Linked DNA regions of Canis lupus familiaris. The main gene of each other region encodes a partner of the protein of the gene in region 4 in a complex. Links are inferred from orthologs where the notes say so. Each region holds a gene or a part of one and is shown on either strand. Other genes may lie near its edges. The genes, in order: FBXL13, CCDC153, DRC7, DRC1 and IQCG.

The links.
Region 1: DRC1 (region 4) and FBXL13 share a complex: the UniProt entries of both Homo sapiens proteins name them as parts of the nexin-dynein regulatory complex. The link is inferred for Canis lupus familiaris from reciprocal best matches to the Homo sapiens genes DRC1 and FBXL13.
Region 2: DRC1 (region 4) and CCDC153 share a complex: the UniProt entries of both Homo sapiens proteins name them as parts of the nexin-dynein regulatory complex. The link is inferred for Canis lupus familiaris from reciprocal best matches to the Homo sapiens genes DRC1 and DRC12.
Region 3: DRC1 (region 4) and DRC7 share a complex: the UniProt entries of both Homo sapiens proteins name them as parts of the nexin-dynein regulatory complex. The link is inferred for Canis lupus familiaris from reciprocal best matches to the Homo sapiens genes DRC1 and DRC7.
Region 5: DRC1 (region 4) and IQCG share a complex: the UniProt entries of both Homo sapiens proteins name them as parts of the nexin-dynein regulatory complex. The link is inferred for Canis lupus familiaris from reciprocal best matches to the Homo sapiens genes DRC1 and DRC9.

The regions. Positions count from the first base shown.
Region 1 is NC_049239.1:17,323,160-17,326,675, reverse strand, and holds part of FBXL13 (dynein regulatory complex subunit 6), read right to left. Parts: intron 3,087-3,516; coding exon 3,019-3,086; intron 1,971-3,018; coding exon 1,816-1,970; intron 1-1,815. UniProt on the Homo sapiens protein: Substrate-recognition component of the SCF (SKP1-CUL1-F-box protein)-type E3 ubiquitin ligase complex.
Region 2 is NC_049226.1:14,703,655-14,707,870, reverse strand, and holds the start of CCDC153 (coiled-coil domain-containing protein 153), read right to left. Parts: upstream 2,809-4,216; 5' UTR 1-2,808. UniProt on the Homo sapiens protein: Component of the nexin-dynein regulatory complex (N-DRC), a key regulator of ciliary/flagellar motility which maintains the alignment and integrity of the distal axoneme and regulates microtubule sliding in motile axonemes.
Region 3 is NC_049223.1:58,032,838-58,036,353, reverse strand, and holds part of DRC7 (dynein regulatory complex subunit 7), read left to right. Parts: intron 1-124; coding exon 125-197; intron 198-1,377; coding exon 1,378-1,506; intron 1,507-1,694; coding exon 1,695-1,823; intron 1,824-2,766; coding exon 2,767-2,987; intron 2,988-3,516. UniProt on the Homo sapiens protein: Component of the nexin-dynein regulatory complex (N-DRC) a key regulator of ciliary/flagellar motility which maintains the alignment and integrity of the distal axoneme and regulates microtubule sliding in motile axonemes.
Region 4 is NC_049238.1:20,579,912-20,583,427, reverse strand, and holds part of DRC1 (dynein regulatory complex protein 1), read right to left. Parts: intron 2,870-3,516; coding exon 2,685-2,869; intron 1,640-2,684; coding exon 1,499-1,639; intron 1,152-1,498; coding exon 1,049-1,151; intron 1-1,048. UniProt on the Homo sapiens protein: Component of the nexin-dynein regulatory complex (N-DRC) a key regulator of ciliary/flagellar motility which maintains the alignment and integrity of the distal axoneme and regulates microtubule sliding in motile axonemes.
Region 5 is NC_049254.1:29,454,217-29,457,732, forward strand, and holds part of IQCG (dynein regulatory complex protein 9), read left to right. Parts: intron 1-473; coding exon 474-602; intron 603-3,516. UniProt on the Homo sapiens protein: Component of the nexin-dynein regulatory complex (N-DRC), a key regulator of ciliary/flagellar motility which maintains the alignment and integrity of the distal axoneme and regulates microtubule sliding in motile axonemes.

The DNA.
Region 1 (3,516 bases), on a different chromosome or scaffold from region 4:
AACCTGTAAACATCACCTTTGCCCTTAGAAATTAAGATGTAGGGGTATCTGTGTGGCTCAGGTGGTTAAGCATCTGCCTTTGGCTCAGATCATGATCTTGGGGTGTTGAGATCGAGCCCTGAGTCGGGCTCCCTGCTTGAGGGGGTGTGTTTCTCCCTCTCCCTCTGCCCTTCCCCCCTGCTCGTGCTCTTTCGCTATCTCATTCTCTTTCAAATAAATAAATAGAACCTTTAAAAAAATTTTAATATATAATAGATGTAATAACACATCAAGACATATATGATACATATAATTTCATTTTTTAATCAACTCTGTTTTTTATAAAACCAGAACATCCAAACTTATTCATAGAAATACAATTATCAGGTGGTATTCTGATTTAGTTGAATGCCCTATGATTAAATAAACTGCTCCATTTTGTGTTTTAACCAAGGATCCCAAAGCTCAAACATATGAGCCAGGCCAGAAAGGAGGATGACTAAGGGCAGGCCCCAGGGACACCACTTAAGAAGACTGTGGCTTCTAAGCTGCAGCCAATTGTTTCTTCTCAGAATTAGAGGCCCATCAATCTTATGTTAAAACCTTCAGAGGGCACCTGGGTGGCTCAATCAGTTAAGTTTCCGACTCTTCATTTCAGCTCAGGTTGTAATCTCAGGGTCATGAGATTGAGTCCCATCCTCTGCCCTGTGCTGGGCATGGAGTCTGCTTAAGATTCTCTCTCTCCCTCTTCCTAAGCCACTTCTCCCCCCCTCACCCCCCATGCTCCCATGTGTGCTTGCTCTCTCTCTTTTCCTCTCTAAAAAATAAAACAAAACAAAACAAAAACCTTCAGAGGGCTCACTGTAACTGAGATATCAAGAGGAAATGATTCTCTGGTTTGCAGCAGCCATAAACCAGTATCTGGTGAAGTGGCTAAATTCTGAGCAAAAGGCTGGAGTTCCCTATTTCTATTCCAAAGATCATGTACATTCATTGTCTATTCATTACAGTTATCAAGGGTATAAGGAAAAGAAAATTTGTTTTCTTTGTTTCCTCATGTATCCATTAAATGAAACATCTGTAAGGAATGGAAAACTCTCTACAAGAAATAGTCCATTTCGGTACCTGTCTGTGATATACCAGCTCTCTGTGAGTAAAAATGATGATAGTAGATCCCTATTTATATTTATATTTGTACATACATCACACAAATACATATAGGATTTCATTTTAAACATGCCTGTTTTCTATTACAATAAAACCCTTTGAGGGCAGCCTGGGTGGCTCAGCGGTTTAGCAGCGCCTTCAGCCCAGGGCCTGATCCTGGAGTCCCAGGATCAAGTCCCATGTCCGGCTCCCTGCATGGAGCCTGCTTCTCCCTCTGCCTGTGTCTCTGCCTCTCTCTCTGTGTCTCTCATGAATGAATAAATAATAAAATATTTTTTTTAAAAAAAACCCTTTGAGACAAATCTCATTAAATATTTTAAATTAGTGGTTTTAGGGATCCCTGGGTGGCGCAGCGGTTTGGCGCCTGCCTTTGGCCCAGGGCGCGATCCTGGAGACCCGGGATCGAATCCCACATCGGGCTCCCGGTGCATGGAGCCTGCTTCTCCCTCTGCCTGTGTCTCTGCCTCTCTCTCTCTCTCTGTGACTATCATAAAAAAAAAAAAAAAAAAAAAAAAAAAAAAAAAAAAAAATAAATTAGTGGTTTTACATTTCATGACAGTTCTCTAGACATCATAACAACTTCTCTAGTACAAACTGCTTAATTGTTAAATGTGTTGATTCTTTGAATACCCGAATACAAAGACCAACTGCTAGTATGTAAAGATTTACCTGTAAGTAGTTTTTTTTGACCTGCTGCATAAGAGTGCCAAAGACGAAATACATATTTTTGAAGTCTGAAATTGTCATATTCTATTGCTTTTTCCATTTTTTCAGCTAGAATGTTCTCTTCATTTATAAGAGGTATTGCTATGTCTCTCCAAATGCTATAGGCAGAAAGTACAGAAAAATAGTATTTTGATATTATGGCAGTACATTACTAATAAATGGAGAGGGAGAGGAGTAATAATACCTCCTTTGTCTCCCCTAAAACCACAGTATAGGGGTTGTTCAATTATTGTTCAATTATTGTTATTGTTTTATTTCCAGCTAGTCCTTGCATTTCCTTTGAGCTTGCTCTTCCTTTTGCTACATTTCTAAAACCCAGAAAAGATCTGAAATTCAGAAGTTTTTGTTGTAACCTATTTAGAGGCAAAACTAGACCTGACCTAAAGTAATTTTGCATTGGGGTACCTCAGCGGCTCAGTTGGTTGAGCATCCGAATTTGGATTTCGGCTCAACTTACGATCTTGCAGTCCTGGGATCCAGCCCTGTATCAGGCTCCACATTCACACAGATTTGACTTGAGATTCTCTCTCTCTCTCTGTCCACCCTCACCCTCCACCCCCCACTCCCACTTTCTGTCTCTAAAATAAATAAATCTTTAAAATAAATAAATAAAAATTTAAAAACTAAAGTAAGTTTGCATCAAAATCCTCCCTGGATTTAACACATAGCTGTTCACAGTCTTTTTTCCACTTTATTTCATATACATTTCATTTTATATACATATACATAATATATAGAGTAGAAATACTAATATATTTGAACATGTTTGGTTCCAACATGCTGCCCCAAACACCACTGAAGATGTTATATAATATATAGAATGTACAGAAGTTACCTTTGTAAAAATTTTTAAGAAAAGGAATCTAAATTTCAAAACATATCTCCAAGGATTTCAGATGAAGATATTGTAGACTTATCCTTTCAATTTTGAAGTTTTATTTTTTTTTAAAAAGCAATGCCTTGAAGTAAAGAACGTATTTTAATTAAATAAAAGCCAAATAAAAATACAAGAAATATACAATGCAAAATGATGGAGACATGATTAAATAGATAAAATCAGAACAACTGGCCAAAAATGAGTTCTTCATGTGGAGAATATTAAGAATAAAAACACAAATAAATAGTATGTAAAAATCATTTTCTTACCAAAAGTGAGTCTTTACTAAATGTCCAGTATAAAAAGTACATGCTTTTATCATCAGTTCTGGAGTCATCTAAAGTAAACAAATAAATGAAATACCAAACATTAGAAATAAATGGAATGCAAAGGCTAACCCCAGAAGATACACAGGAAAATGTGAGCAATGGTTGCACTGGGCAGTAGGGTGACAGGAACAGACTGGAAGAACCACATACCATTTATATATTTTGTAATTTTTTTGTATATGTCTCTTACCTATTTTTTTTCTTTTTTTTTGAGATTTCATCTATTTATTTGACAGAGAGAGAGAGCACAAGCAGGGGGAGCAGCAGGCAGAGGGAGAAGCAGGCTCCATGCAGGGAGAGAGCTGGATGTAGGGCTCCCTCCCAGCAACCTGGGGTCATGACCCAAGCTGAAGGCAGACACCCAACTAACTGAGATACCCAGGCACACCTGTTATCTATTTTTCAGAAGTTAAGATTGCAACTTAAAATTTTTTCATT
Region 2 (4,216 bases), on a different chromosome or scaffold from region 4:
AAGGGTGGTATGTGCCAAGCACAAAGCTTAAGACAGCAAGGTTCTTAGGGGTGGGGGTGAATGGGTGACGGGCACTGAGGGGGGCACTTGACGGGATGAGCACTGGGTGTTATTCTGTATGTTGGCAAATTGAACACCAATAAAAAATAAATTTATTATTAAAAAAAAAAAAGACAGCAAGGTTCTGGAGAGTCCACTCTCTCCTATCCGTAAATCCTCAGTGTAGTTGGAGGGGAAAGGGCTTCAGAGCTGGTTAGCCATGCTTCATTTCCATGTAGCACTGCCTGAAGTCTGGAGACTGAGAAGTTACAGATTTCCATATCTGATACGATGCTGTCACAGGAAAATGCTGAAACAGGAAAAGAGCTGACAGTAGCCATCTTGGGCGATTTACATCACTAGGGCTCATGAGCAAGTGCCATTATTAGGCCTCAGGGAGGTATTCTAGAGTGTGTGAGCGAAAGAAATGCAGGAGAAGGCAGCTGAGAGAGTTTCTCAGTTTGGAGAGAGGAGACACAGAGGAGAGGAGGACCCACAGACTCCAGGGTGCTGACATAAAGGGCTGCAGATGTAGAAGAAAGGGTAGTAGTGGGAGACAAGAGCCATGAGTTCTAGTCCTCCCTCCAGTTACGTAAACTTGGGTCAGTTGTTTAATTTTGCTCAACCTCAGTTTCCTAGTTTTTATTATATATATTTTAAAGATTTTATTTATTTATTCATGAGAGACACGCAGAGAGAGGCAGAGACATAGGCAGAGGGAGAAGCAGGCTCCCTGTGGGGAGCCCCATGCAGGACTTGATTCCAGGACCCCAGGATCACGCCCTGAGCCAAAGGCAGACACTCAACCACTGAGCCACCCAGGTACCCCTTAGTTTCCTGGTCTTTAAGTCTTTGATTTGGTAAATCCTAAAAGGGCTGGGTTTTAACTGGGAATTCACAGGGCCATCTTCCCTTGCGGGGACTTAATTTATTGCCTCTCTTCCTCTATTCCCTTCTGTGGCTGGTTTTCAGTCAGGTGCTGCGAAACTCCTTTGCTAGGCTTCATGTAGAATTGAGTTGGTCGGGGCTCCCTCTAGTGGACTTGCTTGACCTCAGGAGTCTCCTCAATTTTTCTACTTAAATTATTGGGCCATGGGATCCCTGGGTGGCGCAGCGGTTTGGCGCCTGCCTTTGGCCCAGGGCGTGATCCTGGAGATCCGGGATCGAATCCCACATCGGGCTCCCGGTTGCTTCTCCCTCTGCGTCTCTCTCTCTCTCTCTTTCTGTGACTATCATAAATAAATAAAAATAAAAAAAAATTATTGGGCCATGTTGGGAGTGCCTCTCTCTAGGGGATACTTCCTAGCCTCTTGCTGGGGCATGAGTGGTTGGAAAAATGGTTCTGGGGAAGGGAGTATGATGGGTGACTTGTCCTTGTTAGGCAACCCCCAACCCTCTCTCCTCCAGCCCTGTGTTAGTTATTCTGGAGCTTTTTCATCTGTCTGCTGCCTGGATCTCTGGGAACCATACACTTGCTAGAATGAAAACAGCAAAAAACATCAGGGATTTTCCCTTTGTGGATCAAGGAACCTGCAGATTCTCTTGTTATTTCTCTCAATCTCTGTCCCCCTCAACATTTTTGGTCAATTGCCTGTCCTCAGGAGCAGATCTGAAGAAATAGCTTTGCGATCTGGGTTTTAAAAATCCTTTCCCTGGGGAGTGGAGAGATTCAGATGGGGCTGATTTATGCTTATTTGTCACCTTGGTGGCTGCTGGGTACTTCTCTGATGCTTGAGAGATTTTACAGAGTATAGAGAAGAATACTTGCCTTTTCTGGGGCTTATAGTTCCCGTAATGTAGGGTCAGATAACTTTGTTCACAACTCCCAAATCTGGAGAATACTTTTCTTCTCATCTTGAAGTGTGTTTCATTTATTCTCCCCTCAGAACTCTTTCCTCTGCATAGGAATGCAGGAGAGGTTCCCACCACAGTCCTCTCCTCATCTAGAAGCCTGTTTGGGGTCACTTTTCAGGGAATGATTGGTTTCTGCATTGTGCTGATGCATGCGATGACATTTTGAGGACAGAGTTTACAGAATACAAACAACATATCACGCCTCAGAAGAGGATTTACTTTTCAAATATGTTCAGTCAACCGACTTTCAGGTGCAGAATGAGGATGTGGTTTGGGTGAAGGTGAAATGGAAGAAGAAAAGTGCCCCATGTCACATGATGTGATGATACAAACTGAGCCAGATCTAGAATGACCCAAGAATGCGAATGACATTGTGATCAACAATCCAATCCCCATCCTCAGTATGCTTTGAAAACAAGCCAAGTAAAAATTGTGGTGGTTGGGGGGAAGGTCAATCTTTCCTTCTTTTTTTCATTAACTTCAGATTAGAAGTGAAAAATAAGAAAGATCATCTCAGCAGAACTCTGTCCTCCTTTGAATAGGATTCCATCTGGGAGTTTTGAAGAGATATAGAGGAAAGAACTGTCACTCCCTCTGCTTTATTCAAATGCGAGAGAGAGTTTATTTGTATATTTAAAGAAATGTGGCTTTAAAAAAAAATTTTGATAGGGCACCTGGGTGGCACAGTTAGGCATCTGACTCCTGATTTGGGCTCAAGTCCTCATCTCAGGGTGGTGAGATTGAGCCCCTCCTTGGATCATGAGCTCAGTGCAGATGGAGTTTGCGGGAGATTCTCTGCCCCTCCATTCACTTGCTCCACTTGTGTGTGCCATGCACATTCTCTCTCTCTCTCTCAAATAAATAAATCTTAAAAAAAAGTATGTATTTTTTTCTTTTTTGAGAGGAGGGAAGGGAAGAGAGGGAATCTTTTTTTTTTTTAAAGACTTATTTATTTATTCATGAGAGACACAGAGAGGCAGTGACACAGGCAGAGGGAGAAGCAGGCTCCATGCAGGGAGCCTGATGTGGGACTCGATCCTGGGTCCCCAGGATCATGCCCTGGGCTAAAGGCAGACACTAAGCCACTGAGCCACCCAGGGATCCCAAAGAGAGGGAATCTTAAGCAGGCTCTATACCCAGTGTAAGCCCAATACAGGGCTTGACCTCACGACTCTGTCATCATGACCTGAGCTGAAATCCAGAGTCCAGGGCTTAACCGACTGAGTCACCCAGGCGCCACCAGAGATACAGCTTCTGCAAGCAGAAACAAAGTACAAATTATACAGTTACACTCTATCCAGGTGGTGCCGAAGATAATACAAATTGGAAGGCTTAAAGGAAGCCAGAGATGTGTAGATGAACCAGATGAACTCATATAGGCCCAAGGGTTAATTTCTTACCTGTTACTCCAGTAAATCTAGCATTTGATGATGAGGGGGAAAAATACCCTGTGTACCTACAACGTGTTAGGTACCCCAGAAGACCAAAGTCAATGAAATAGCATAGCATAAATAAATGTGGTACCTGTGAGAATGAACAGTTAGTGAAATTTATTTTTATTATTATTTTTAAAAATTATTTATTTATTCATGAGAGACAGAGAGAGAGGCAGAAACATAGGCAGAGGGAGAAGAGAAGCAGGCTTCCTGTGGGAAGCCTGAAGTGGGACTCCACCCCAGGACCCCTGGCACCATGAGCCAAAGGCAGATGCTCAACCACTGAGCCACCCAGGTGCCCCCAGTTTTGACAGTTATCTTAGAGCCTTGCCTAGATTTTCCTTTGGGAGATTTCTTCTCTCTCTCTCTCTCTCTCTCTCTCTTTTTTTTTAAAGATTTCTTCTCTTTCTAGGCAGGAACTGATAAGAGGAAATTCTGATAGTAAACGATAATGTTGACTCCATAATCAATCTTAGATAAAGGCCATTGAATTTCAAAGCAAGGATGTCTGGCTTATGAGTCCTTGAGTTCAGAGAGATTTTTCTCCCCTCTATGCCAGGAGCACATGATACACTTAATTCCTTAATCAGTTAAGGGCTTTGTGGAAGACCCAGGTAGGGGATCTAAGACAGAATTGAGCATTTAACAGACACGCTAGAGCCTGCAAGCTCCCAAAGAGGAGGCTCAGAATTAGCAAATCAGGGCAGGGCACTTCCTTCTTTTGGAAGAAAAGTTCCCCTTTTTTTTTTCAGAGTTTTTCCAACAGAACTTTTTAGATTAGAGAAGTGGAAATGACTGGGAACTGCATTTCTGTTCCACGCGGGGAGTGAGTCCTCCCCTGGCCAGGGCCGGCAGCTGCCTCGGGCCTGGGCCGCTGTGGTCAAGGC
Region 3 (3,516 bases), on a different chromosome or scaffold from region 4:
CTGGGGGAGCTAGCAGCCACTGTGGCTTGGCCCTGGGGGGGGCAAGACAGAGGCTCTGCCTCTAGCTTCCGCTCCAAGGCCCAGCCCTGACCAGAGCCTGCCCCCTCCCCACCTCTCCCAACAGGGCAAGGAGGATGAGGATAAGAGTTTCGACATGCCACCCTCATGGGTGGAGCAGATTGAGATCTCCCCAGAAGGTACATGCACATTTGTGTTCCTTGCCTCCCCAGGACCAGTTAGTGGGGGAGCCAGTGAAGGCTGCCCCAGCCCCTCATTTCCACCTCTCCTGCCTTCTGCTGTGCCCTGATGCACCCTGCTCTGAACAGTGTCTCTGTTCTATCTACTTCCCGCCACATGCACTCAGCTCTGTGGCTGGGGGCCTGACACCAGTCTGGTGTACGGGGGAGGAAGGGAGGGGTGCCAGGTTAACCTGTGCTAGGTGATGGAGTGTGGATAATAAAGGACGGAGGAGAGGGATCCCTGGGTGGCTCAGCGGTTTGGCACCTGCCTTCGGTCCAGGGTGTGATCCTGGAGTCCCGGGATCAAGTCCCACATCAGGTTCCCTGCATGGAGTCTGCTTCTCCCTCTGCCTGTGTCTCTGCCTCTCTCTCTCTCTCTCTCTCTCTCTCTCTCAGTCTGTGTCTCTCATGAATAAATAAATAAAATATTTTTAAAAATAAATAATAAAAAAATAAAGGACGGAGGACCAGGACGTGGTTGTTGCCCTCCCCCACCCCCCTGCCAGGAGGAGGCCAAACAGCATAGTACCCAGATGGCAGAGGGGAGCAGAGGCATCAGGACCAGGGAGGAGCAGCTCCCCAGGGAGGAGTAGGCAGAGAAAGCAGCAGGGAAGGGCCACTTGTGAGCCACGCCAACATCTACTGGCTGTTGAGGTTCCTGTCTGGGAGGCCTAGACCCACACGGAGGGCATAGGGTATTCCAACAGTGGGAAGGGCTAGAGAGGGCATCATGGGAACCAGGGGAGGAGTTCCCAGCCCAGCTGCCCGCTTGGGGACTGGGAGAAGGTGGGCAGGAAGGGCTTCCAAGAGGAGGAGGAGTCTGAGCAGGGTTTTAAGGGATCAGAAGCCAGCCCAGTAAGGGCAGGAGGGGATGGTGATTCCCGCAGAGAGACCTGCACAGGCAGAGGCCCAGCAGCGAGTGAGTGGTGTGGTAGGGCACAGCTCCCGTGGTCAGGCTCAAAGCTGAGAACTCCTCCAGGGCAGGAGCTACCCTGGTGACTACTTCCCTCTGTCTCCCTGGAGTGGGCTTGGGGCCTGGAGGAGTTTAGCACAGTGACCAGATGAGTGGCTGAGTGGGGTTGGCCCTCTAGTGCCCCAATCTGGGGAGGCGGGACCCCAGCCCACTCTGTGTCTGCAGCGTTCGAGACCCGCTGCCCCAGTGGGAAGAAGGTGATCCAGTACAAGAGGGCCAAGCTGGAGAAGTGGGCCCCATATCTCAACAACAATGGCCTCGTGTGCCGCCTCACCACCTACGAGGACTTGGAGTGTAAGGCGGGCAGCCCCGGCCGCGAGGGCAGGAGAGCTGGGTTCCCCAGTGGGCTATGTGACCTTGGGCACGTCCCTGCCAGGCACTTGTTGTGCGTGTGGGCCCCCGCTGACCTGTGTGCCGGGAAGGGTGGGACAGAGGCTGGGGGAGCCAGCCTGGCTGTGGCAAGTACTGATCGTGCCCTGCAGGTACCAAGACTTTGGAGATAAAGGAGTGGTACCAGAACCGGGAGGATATGCTAGAGCTAAAACACATCAACAAGAGCACAGGTCTGAATATCGACTACTTCAAGCCAGGCCATCCCCAGGCTCTGCGTGGTGAGTGGAACCCGCTGTCGGTCCCAGTGGGAGCCCAGGGTATGACAAGCAACATAAGCCCCCACCCCTGCCTCCCTAAGCAAACCAGATGTGCACGAGGCCAGGGGAAGTGCAGAAGATGTGACAAATGTCCCTCCAGGAAAGTCAAAACCAGGGCCACATGCCCATTCTGTGCTTAGGGCTAGGCACATGCTGAAGGCCACCTTTCTAAGGGGTCAGGACACAGAGCAACAAAACTAACAAATGCCCCCACAAGGGCGATGCGGAGGGCAGGGGTGTGGTCATGAGCCCAAGAGGCAGGGAAGTGAGGGAAGGATGTGTCTTGAAAGAATCAACAGCCCTAACCAAGGACACAGAGAAGAAAAGCCTAGTGTCATTATATATCCTTTAAAAATGATCAAACTCACTTGATGGCTGAAATGAAAGAAAAAGGAAGGAAGGAAGGAAGGAAGGAAGGAAGGAAGGAAGGAAGGAAGGAAGGAAGGAAGGAAGGAAGGAAGGAAGGAGCCGTTTTACAAACCTCATGTTGCGAAGATGACAAAATGGTCCTACCGGTGTGTAAGCAAAGCAGCAGAGAGTTGCTCCCTGTCACTGCTCATAGGACAGCAAACTGGCTCAACTTTTCGAGAAAGTAGTTGGGCAAAATAATAATAGCTTTAAAATACATACGCTTTTCGACCAGCTGTGCTACCTCTGAGAATTTGTCCTGAGCAAATACTGGGCAAGAACTAAAGAATGTTCACCCTGGTGTTGTTTCTAATGACAAAAAGGTGAGAAACAACCTGAACACCCAGCAGTGGGGCATTGGTTCCATAAGTCCTGCTCATCCGCGAGCATCCATGGACATGCCTTCTCCCTGGGGCCCGGGCCCGGGTTCTCAAGCCAGGGGCCAGCGCTCCTGGTCTCACCCCGCTGCCTTCCCGGCCCCCGCCTCCCACCACAGCGCACTCGTACGTGTCTATGCAACCCGAGATGGACCGGGTCATGGAGTTCTACGAGACAGCCCGTGTGGACGGCCTGGTAAAGCGGGAGGAGACGCCCAGCTCGATGACGGAGCACTACCGAGGACGGTCTGACTTCCTCTCCTACCGCCACGTGGATTTTGGGCCCAGGGTGAAGAAGTTGGCTCTGAACAGCGCAGAGTCAAACCCGCGGCCAGTGGTGGTGAGCTGTCGTTGGGGCAGGCACAGGGCGCCCGCTCTCTGCGGCAGCGCTGGAGCCACACCTTCAGGAGGGGGCACCTCCTGGTTATAAAGCGGGAGAGATTGTGCCCCCTGCCACTGTGCCATACGTGCACACTAGAACGGTGGCTCTCAGATACTACTGTGCCAGTGTCCATAGGCTTGGTTCTTGGGAGTCTTTTCTAACCTATTTGAGATGTGTGTGTGAGCGAAGGTAGGACCCCTGTATCGCTCACCTCACATTGAATCGGCCCTTTTCCCTCCACATCCCTGCAAATGACCTGGCAGCTGTGGCTAATGGCTGTCTACCCAAGGAGCTCTTCCCAGCAGGAAGGGATGTGTAGTGATAAAGCAGGGCGCCTGGCGAGGTGGTGAGCTCCCTATCTCTGGAGGTGAGCAAATAGAACCCTGTGCGGGAAGAGAAGAAATGCCGCAGCATCAGGGCTGAGGTGGCCCGGCTGAGGACCCACGGGGCCCTGGGGAGCCATCGGCGGCAGGAAGGGCTGCTCCAC
Region 4 (3,516 bases):
TGGTAATGTTCTTAACCTTCTGCTCTGAGCCACTCTCTTAAATCCTCCCTCCCCCCCCCTCACCTGTGCATCCCATCACCAGTCTAGCCCTCCCCCTCCCTCCCCCCCCCCCCCATCTTCTTGTACACAGCAGCGTGGACAAAAGCACGGACCACATAGTCCTCTAATGTGTATCACAGGCCAACAGGCCATCACGACACCAAGGCTTACCACATCCTCTGCTCAGGTGTGGCCTGGGGCCTGAGACCATGGTGGGGCCACATTCTCAGTTCCGGGGCTTGTGGCTGGCCTCAGTCACCTCTCACACACACCGCTGGTGAGGAGAACCTACCCTCAGCCCAGTGTGTTAAGGCTGTCCTGGCCCAGGGCTTCAGCATCATGTAAAAGATTCTACACTAGCAGAGCAGAGCCACCAACTGTGTTATGAGTGGATTCTAATCTTTGGAGCAGAGGCAGTGAGATTTCCTCTCCTGCAGGCCATGGGAACAGTTGCCCCAACCACACTGGAGCGGGCAAGAATGGGGGCCAGCAAATATCTATCCCAGTTGGCGCCTCCTCTCACCGTGTTACATCCCAGGCCGGACAACCTGGGTCAGTAATATGGGAAGAGCCCAGGGCTCTGGGCATGTCACAGAGTCACCCAGTCTTGATTCTCCTTTTTGGGAGAATCATCTATGCCCTATTGACCTCACAGAGGGGTTGTTAAGACAAAGAAGAAAATTCATAAGGAAGGGTTCTGTGGGCTATGAAGCCATCGTGAGCTTTGGCACTGCTTCCAAGAATAGTCCAACAAGCAGCTTGTGCCAAAGACCATGGGTATGAAAGGGGCACTCTCACAGCCCAAACATCTCAGAGAAGGCTTTAGGATTGTCCATTCCCTTGCCCAATAATTCTGTCCCAACCTCAGGTATGACTGTTGATACTTTATGTCACACCTCAATGCTCCCTTGCTTCTGGTGAGGAAAGAGACTCATTTCCTAATATCAGCTCCAGCCCCACTGCCTCCCTTGGCCGCCTGCCTACCGTCCTTGGAGGGTCCGTCACCCACCTTGGAATCTAGATACTGTTGAAGCAGCATCTGGAGCTCTGTGTTCTGCTGCTCCAGAGAGTTGTTTTCTATCAGCAGCGTGGCCCTCTGGGTCAGGATGAGGCTTTGGGTGGAAAAATCAGTTAGAGGCTCATTGAATCCTGCATCCTCTGCCAAGTAGGGACCAGGATCTCTGTGTTTCTGGTCTGTTTAGAGGTGGAAGAGGATTCCAGAAGCCTGACCCCAGAGCAACCTCCCTGCCCAAAACAAACCAGGCTAGCAGGAACAGAATAGGAAGCCAGAGGACCAGCCACCCAACAATACCACATGCCCCTTCAACAGGACCTTTCCCTCCAAAGGCAGCTTTTCTCTCCAAGTCAGGGAGGTGGCAAACTGGCCACTGCAAGCAGAATCCTCCTCCACCAACTGGCTGGGCCCCTCCTTCTCCTGGGCTATGACATGCACACTCACTGATACTTCTCCAAAGCTGTGTACAGAGCGTCCCAGAGGTTCTGCGTGGTATCAGAGATAACTGTGGTCAGGGCCTCCCAATACTCAGAGTCCTTCGAGTCATCTCGCACATGCTTCAACTTCACTGGTGCCCGGGAGTCCCTGAAGGTTAAGAGCAACAGTATCATCATCGCCACCTGGCACCCCCCAGGTCCCCACGTGGGGCTAGTCACAGTGCCTGTCCCTCACAGACTCTGCTTGTCCACCAGTCACCTTCCCACTCAGCTTCGTGAGTCTACCGGCTTATGGCCAATTCTCAGAAAGTGCACATGACTGCCCTCAGCATTCCTGACTCCTGGTGCCATTGTCGCTTTTGTCATCCCCTTTCTCTCAGTCAGTTTACCTCACTGACTTTATATCCCGCTACTATGCCCAGTTCTTTCACTAATGCATCCAAAACACCTCTCAGAATTCGGCATCCCCTCAAGGATAGCCTTGATCCAGGATATCATCAACTCCACCAGGACAAACCTTTCAGCTGCTCTCCTGTATCTGGCATCACCGCCCCCTCCCCACCACCAAAGGGATCTTTGCAAAATGCAAGCCCAACCATGGCGCCTCCACTGCTTAAAACCATGCTCTGGCTCCGGGCCACTAAAGGACAAAGACAAAGATCTTGGGCACGGCGAGCAAGGCTCTCCTTGCCTGGCTCCCCTGCCCACTGGTCTCACTTCCCAGGGAAGACCCTGACACTAGCCACACCTCTCTGCCACGATTCTGGAATATACCAGGCCTTTCCCCATACTGTGACACCCTGAAGTGCCCTTTCCTCCCACTTAATCCACCCAGGAAAACCCAGTTTGGGTGCCTAAACCCCTCTCGGACATGCCAGATGGGGAAGCCACTGCCTCTCCCAAGTGACGTGACACCTTGTTATGCTCTGCCCATTTTCTGATAACCAAGCGCTCCCTCCACAGGGCCCACACCCAGCAGACCCCAGTGACTGTTGAATGAATGATGAATGAGAAAATCACTTCTACGCCTATTTCTTTCCTTCATGTCCACTTGTCCCCCGATTCCTCCAGCCCTCCCGAGGACCAGCCTCTCCTCCCCACCCAGGTTCCTGTCCTGCAACCTCCACACTCAGACTATAGCATCTGCATGGCCTCTGCCCAGCCCGCTTCAAGCAAGCCCTCCAGCACCACACCTGGGCTTCTTCAGACCCATGACAAAGGCCTCCAGGATCTTGAGGACATCGTTGGGGTGGATGAGCATGGGAGAAGGGGGATGCTCCTTCTCTTCTGCCTCCCCTTCCCCAAGGCTTTCCTCCTTCTGTTCCTCAAGGTCTCTCTTCTCTCCTGGCTCCAGTGCCGACATCAGGCTTGTTTGCTCCTGTGGGGGTGACAGATGCCAAGGTAAACCAATGTCATCAGTTTCTTACGTATCCTTCCAAAGAAATACTATGTCCCTACAAGCAACGCCTTCCCTCCCGTTGTCACAGGAATGATGCTCTATGACACACACAGTTCTGCACTTTACATGTTTCACAATAAACCTTAGGGATGTTTTCGCATAAATACGTAAAGAACTTTTTTGTTTTTTTTTTTTTACCGGTGCATAGTATTCCACTATGTAGATTCACCACAGCTCCTAAGAGCAGGAGGTTTGGCTTGTTCCCCTGAACAATGAATTCTTTCACGATGGAATTGTAGATTGTTTTCAATCTTCTCCCACTTCTAGCAATGCTGCAACCAATGAGCTACAATAAACACATCCTTTCAAATGTATTGAGACATAGCTGCAGAGTGAAATCCTAGGAGAACTGCAGGGTATAGAGTACATGGTGAAGTCATCCATAGGGACGCTGCAACATTTGGCTCTCACAGCGGCAACTTAGGAGCCTGTCTGGTTCCCACGCTTCGGCCAATCACTATGTGCTATCAACTCGCACAGTCTTGCCAATGTGACAGTTGCACATGGAATTTGGACAGTTTTAATTTGCACTTCTCTTATTAAAAGAAACCTGGTTATCTTTTCAT
Region 5 (3,516 bases), on a different chromosome or scaffold from region 4:
GTTGTTTATTTTCAAATGAGTGGGTACTGAATTTTGCCTAATACCTTTTTTGCATCTATTGCGATAGCCATATGGTTTGTTTCCTTTTGCTTTTGTTTTTGTTTTGTTTTGTTTTAAAAGATTTTATTTATTCATGAGAGACACAGAGAGAGAGAGAGGCAGAGACACAGGCAGAGGGAGAAGCAGGCTCCATGCAGGGGGCCCAATGTGGGACTGGATCCTGGGACTCCAGGATCATGCCCTAAGCCAAAGTAGATGGCAGACGCTCAACCACTGAACCACCCAGTCGTCCCTCCTTTTGCTTTTGTTTATGTGATGAATTCTATTAATAGATTTTCTAATGCTAAACTATTCTTGCATTCCAGGAATAATTCCAGCTAGTCATGCTTTTTATCCTGGGTCTTAACCTGTGTGACTTCTGTAGCCCTTTGTATATATACTTTATTAACTCATCCTTTTGTGTCTCCTTACAGGCAATTTTTCAGTGATATAATTACAAAGACCATGCAGGAGTTAGAAGAGTCAGGCACTTTCACCAGTCTTCTGGAAGCTCTGGGCAAAGAAAGAGAAAACAAAATGCATTTCTATGATATCATTGCCAGGTCCGAGTAATATGTTTATTTGCTGTGTTGTATTTTAAAGTGCTATTAGCCTTTCCTAGAAGTCCTTGATTTCTAAAGCAAATCAAATTTGTGATTTCCAGGGAAGGTAAATAGACCTCAGAAATTTAGGTGCTAATTCAGATTTCTGGGCTTTAGTTATGTGTATCTATAATATGTCAAAAGTATTCTTCCAAAAAAAAAAAAGTATTATTCCTATTGTATAGTAATCTTTCTTTTTTTAAAAAAAAAAAAGTGAATTTCAGTTAGTTAACATTATTTAGTAGTATTATTTTCAGGTGTACAATATAGTGATTCACCACTTCCATGCAATACTCGTGCTTATCATGATAATTGTACTCCTTAATCTACATCATCTGTTTAACCCATATCCCCCTCCTCTGGCAACCATCACTTTGTTCTCTATAGTTAAGAGTCTGTTTCTTAGTTTGTTTTCCTCTTTTTTTCCTTTGCTTGTTCATTTGTTTTTTCCTTAAATTCCACATATGAATGAAATCATATGGTGTTTGTCTTTCTCTGACTGACTTATTTTGCTTAGCATTACACTCTCTAGTTCCATCCATGTTGTTGCAAATGGCAAGATTTCATCTTGTTTATGGCCAAATAATATTCCATTGTAGACATACCACATATTCTTAACCAACTGAGCCACCCAGGTGCCCCTATACCACATATTCTTTATCCATTTTTTAATCAATGGACACTTGGGCTGCTTCCATACTTGGCTACTGTAAATGATGCTGCTACAAATGTAGAGATGCATGTATCCCTCTGAATTAGTGTTTTTGTATTCTTTGGGTGAAAACCTAGTAGTGTGATTACTGGATTGTAGGGTAGTTCCATTTTTAACTTTTTAAAGAAACTCCATACTGTTTTCCACAGTGGCTCTATCAATTTGCATTCCCACAAAGAGTGCAAAGGGTTCTGTTTTTCTCCACATCTTCAGCCAACACCTGTTGTTTCTTGTGTTGTTGATTTTAGCCATTCTGACAGATGTGAAGTGATATCTCATTATAGTTTTGATGTGTATTTCCCTAATGATAGGTAAGTTTTGATGAACATCTTTTCATGTGTCTAGTAGCCATCTGGTGTCTTCTCTGGAGAAATCTCTGTTCATGTCTTCTGCCTATTTTTTAACTGGATTATTTTTAGGGGTGTAGAGTTTTATAAGTTTTTTGTATATTTTGGGTACCAACCCTTTATCAGAAATGTCATTTGCGGGCAGCCCCCGTGGCTCAGCGGTTTAGCACTGCCTTCAGCCCAGGGCCTGATCCTGGAGACCCGGGATCGAGTCCCACGTCAGGCTCCCTGCATGGAGCCTGCTTCTCCCTCTGCCTGTGTCTCTGCCTCTCTCTCTCTCTGTCTCTCATGAATAAAGAAATTTTAAAAATCTTAAAAAAAAAAAAGATTTAAAGTATTGTTTACAAAGTTATAATAACGGGGGAAATGTTTATGTCACAATTTTAAGTTGAAAAAGAAAGGCTGGAAATAATAAAGTATTATCCCATCTATATAATAAAACTGAAAAAAAAAACATGAATAGAAAATGAAAACTAGGGGATCCCTGGGTGGCTCAGCAGTTTAGCACCGCCTTCAGCCCAGGATGTGGTCCTGGAGTCCCGGGATCGAGTCCCACCTCGGGCTCCCAGCATGGAGCCTGCTTCTCCCTCTGCCTGTGTCTCTGCCTCTCTCTCTCTCTCTCTCATGAATAAATAAATAAAATCTTTAAAAAAAAAAAAAAGAAAAGAAAATGAAAACTGAAAGGGAATATACCAGTGTGTTAATAATTTGGCTGTTTTTTTAAAAAAAAATCTTCAGTATTTTCTAAGTCTTCACCTTACTAAGAGAGAAAATAAACTTATGTTCTCAAAGATTTTATTTATTTATTTGAGAGAGAGTGAGGAGGGGGAGGAGCAGAGAGAGGGAGAAGCAGACTCCATGCTGAGCATGGAGCCTGTCGTGGGGCTCGATCCCATGACCCTGAGATCATGACCTGAGCCAAAACATGCGTTAGATGCTCAACTGACTGAGCCACCCAGATGCCTCTTGTAAATAAACTTATTAACCAAAAAACTAAATAAAATACATATACTCTTTGACCCAACATTTCTACTTTGAAAATATAGGAAAAAATTAGCTCATATTATATATATATATACACAAAATATTCATTGTAGCATAATGGTAAAAATCTAGAATTGTATAAATGTCCTTTAATAAAGGAATTCTTGAATAGTTGTTAATTTTAGGAAATAAGAAACATGCAGCTGTTAAAAAGAATAAATTAGAGGCGCACCTGAGTAGGTCAGTCAGTTGAGCATCCAACTCTTGATTTGAATAAATGAGAGCTCTATGATTGATCAGAGGAATTTTCTTCATATGCAGATAAATGGAAAAAGCTACAGTATTATGTGTATAATATAAATTTTTATCTTTTTTTTTTTTTAAGTAGGCTTCATGCCTAGTGTTGAGCCCAACATTGGGCTTGAACTCATGACCCTGAGATCAACACCTGAGCTGAGATCAAGGCAGCTGAATCACTCAGGTGCCTCTGCAATATGATTAAAAAAAAAATCTCATCCATATATGTAAGAACATAGAGAAAGATGTGGGAGGATATACATCAAAAGATTTAACATTGCTTACTTCACAGGAGGGAATTGGACGGGATTCCTATTCAGTTTTGAAATAATTCCTATTCAGTTTTGAAATATTACAATATGCACTTGTTACTTAGTGATTTCAAAAAAAGCTAATCAAGTAAGAAAAAGAAAAAAGAAAAATATGTACTACTATTTGGAAGGGAGAAGATAATCTCAATGTAGATAGTTTGCTAGTGATTGATTTTCCATATGATTACATAGTGATCATGTATGATAATCTCTTCTTTTAGTTT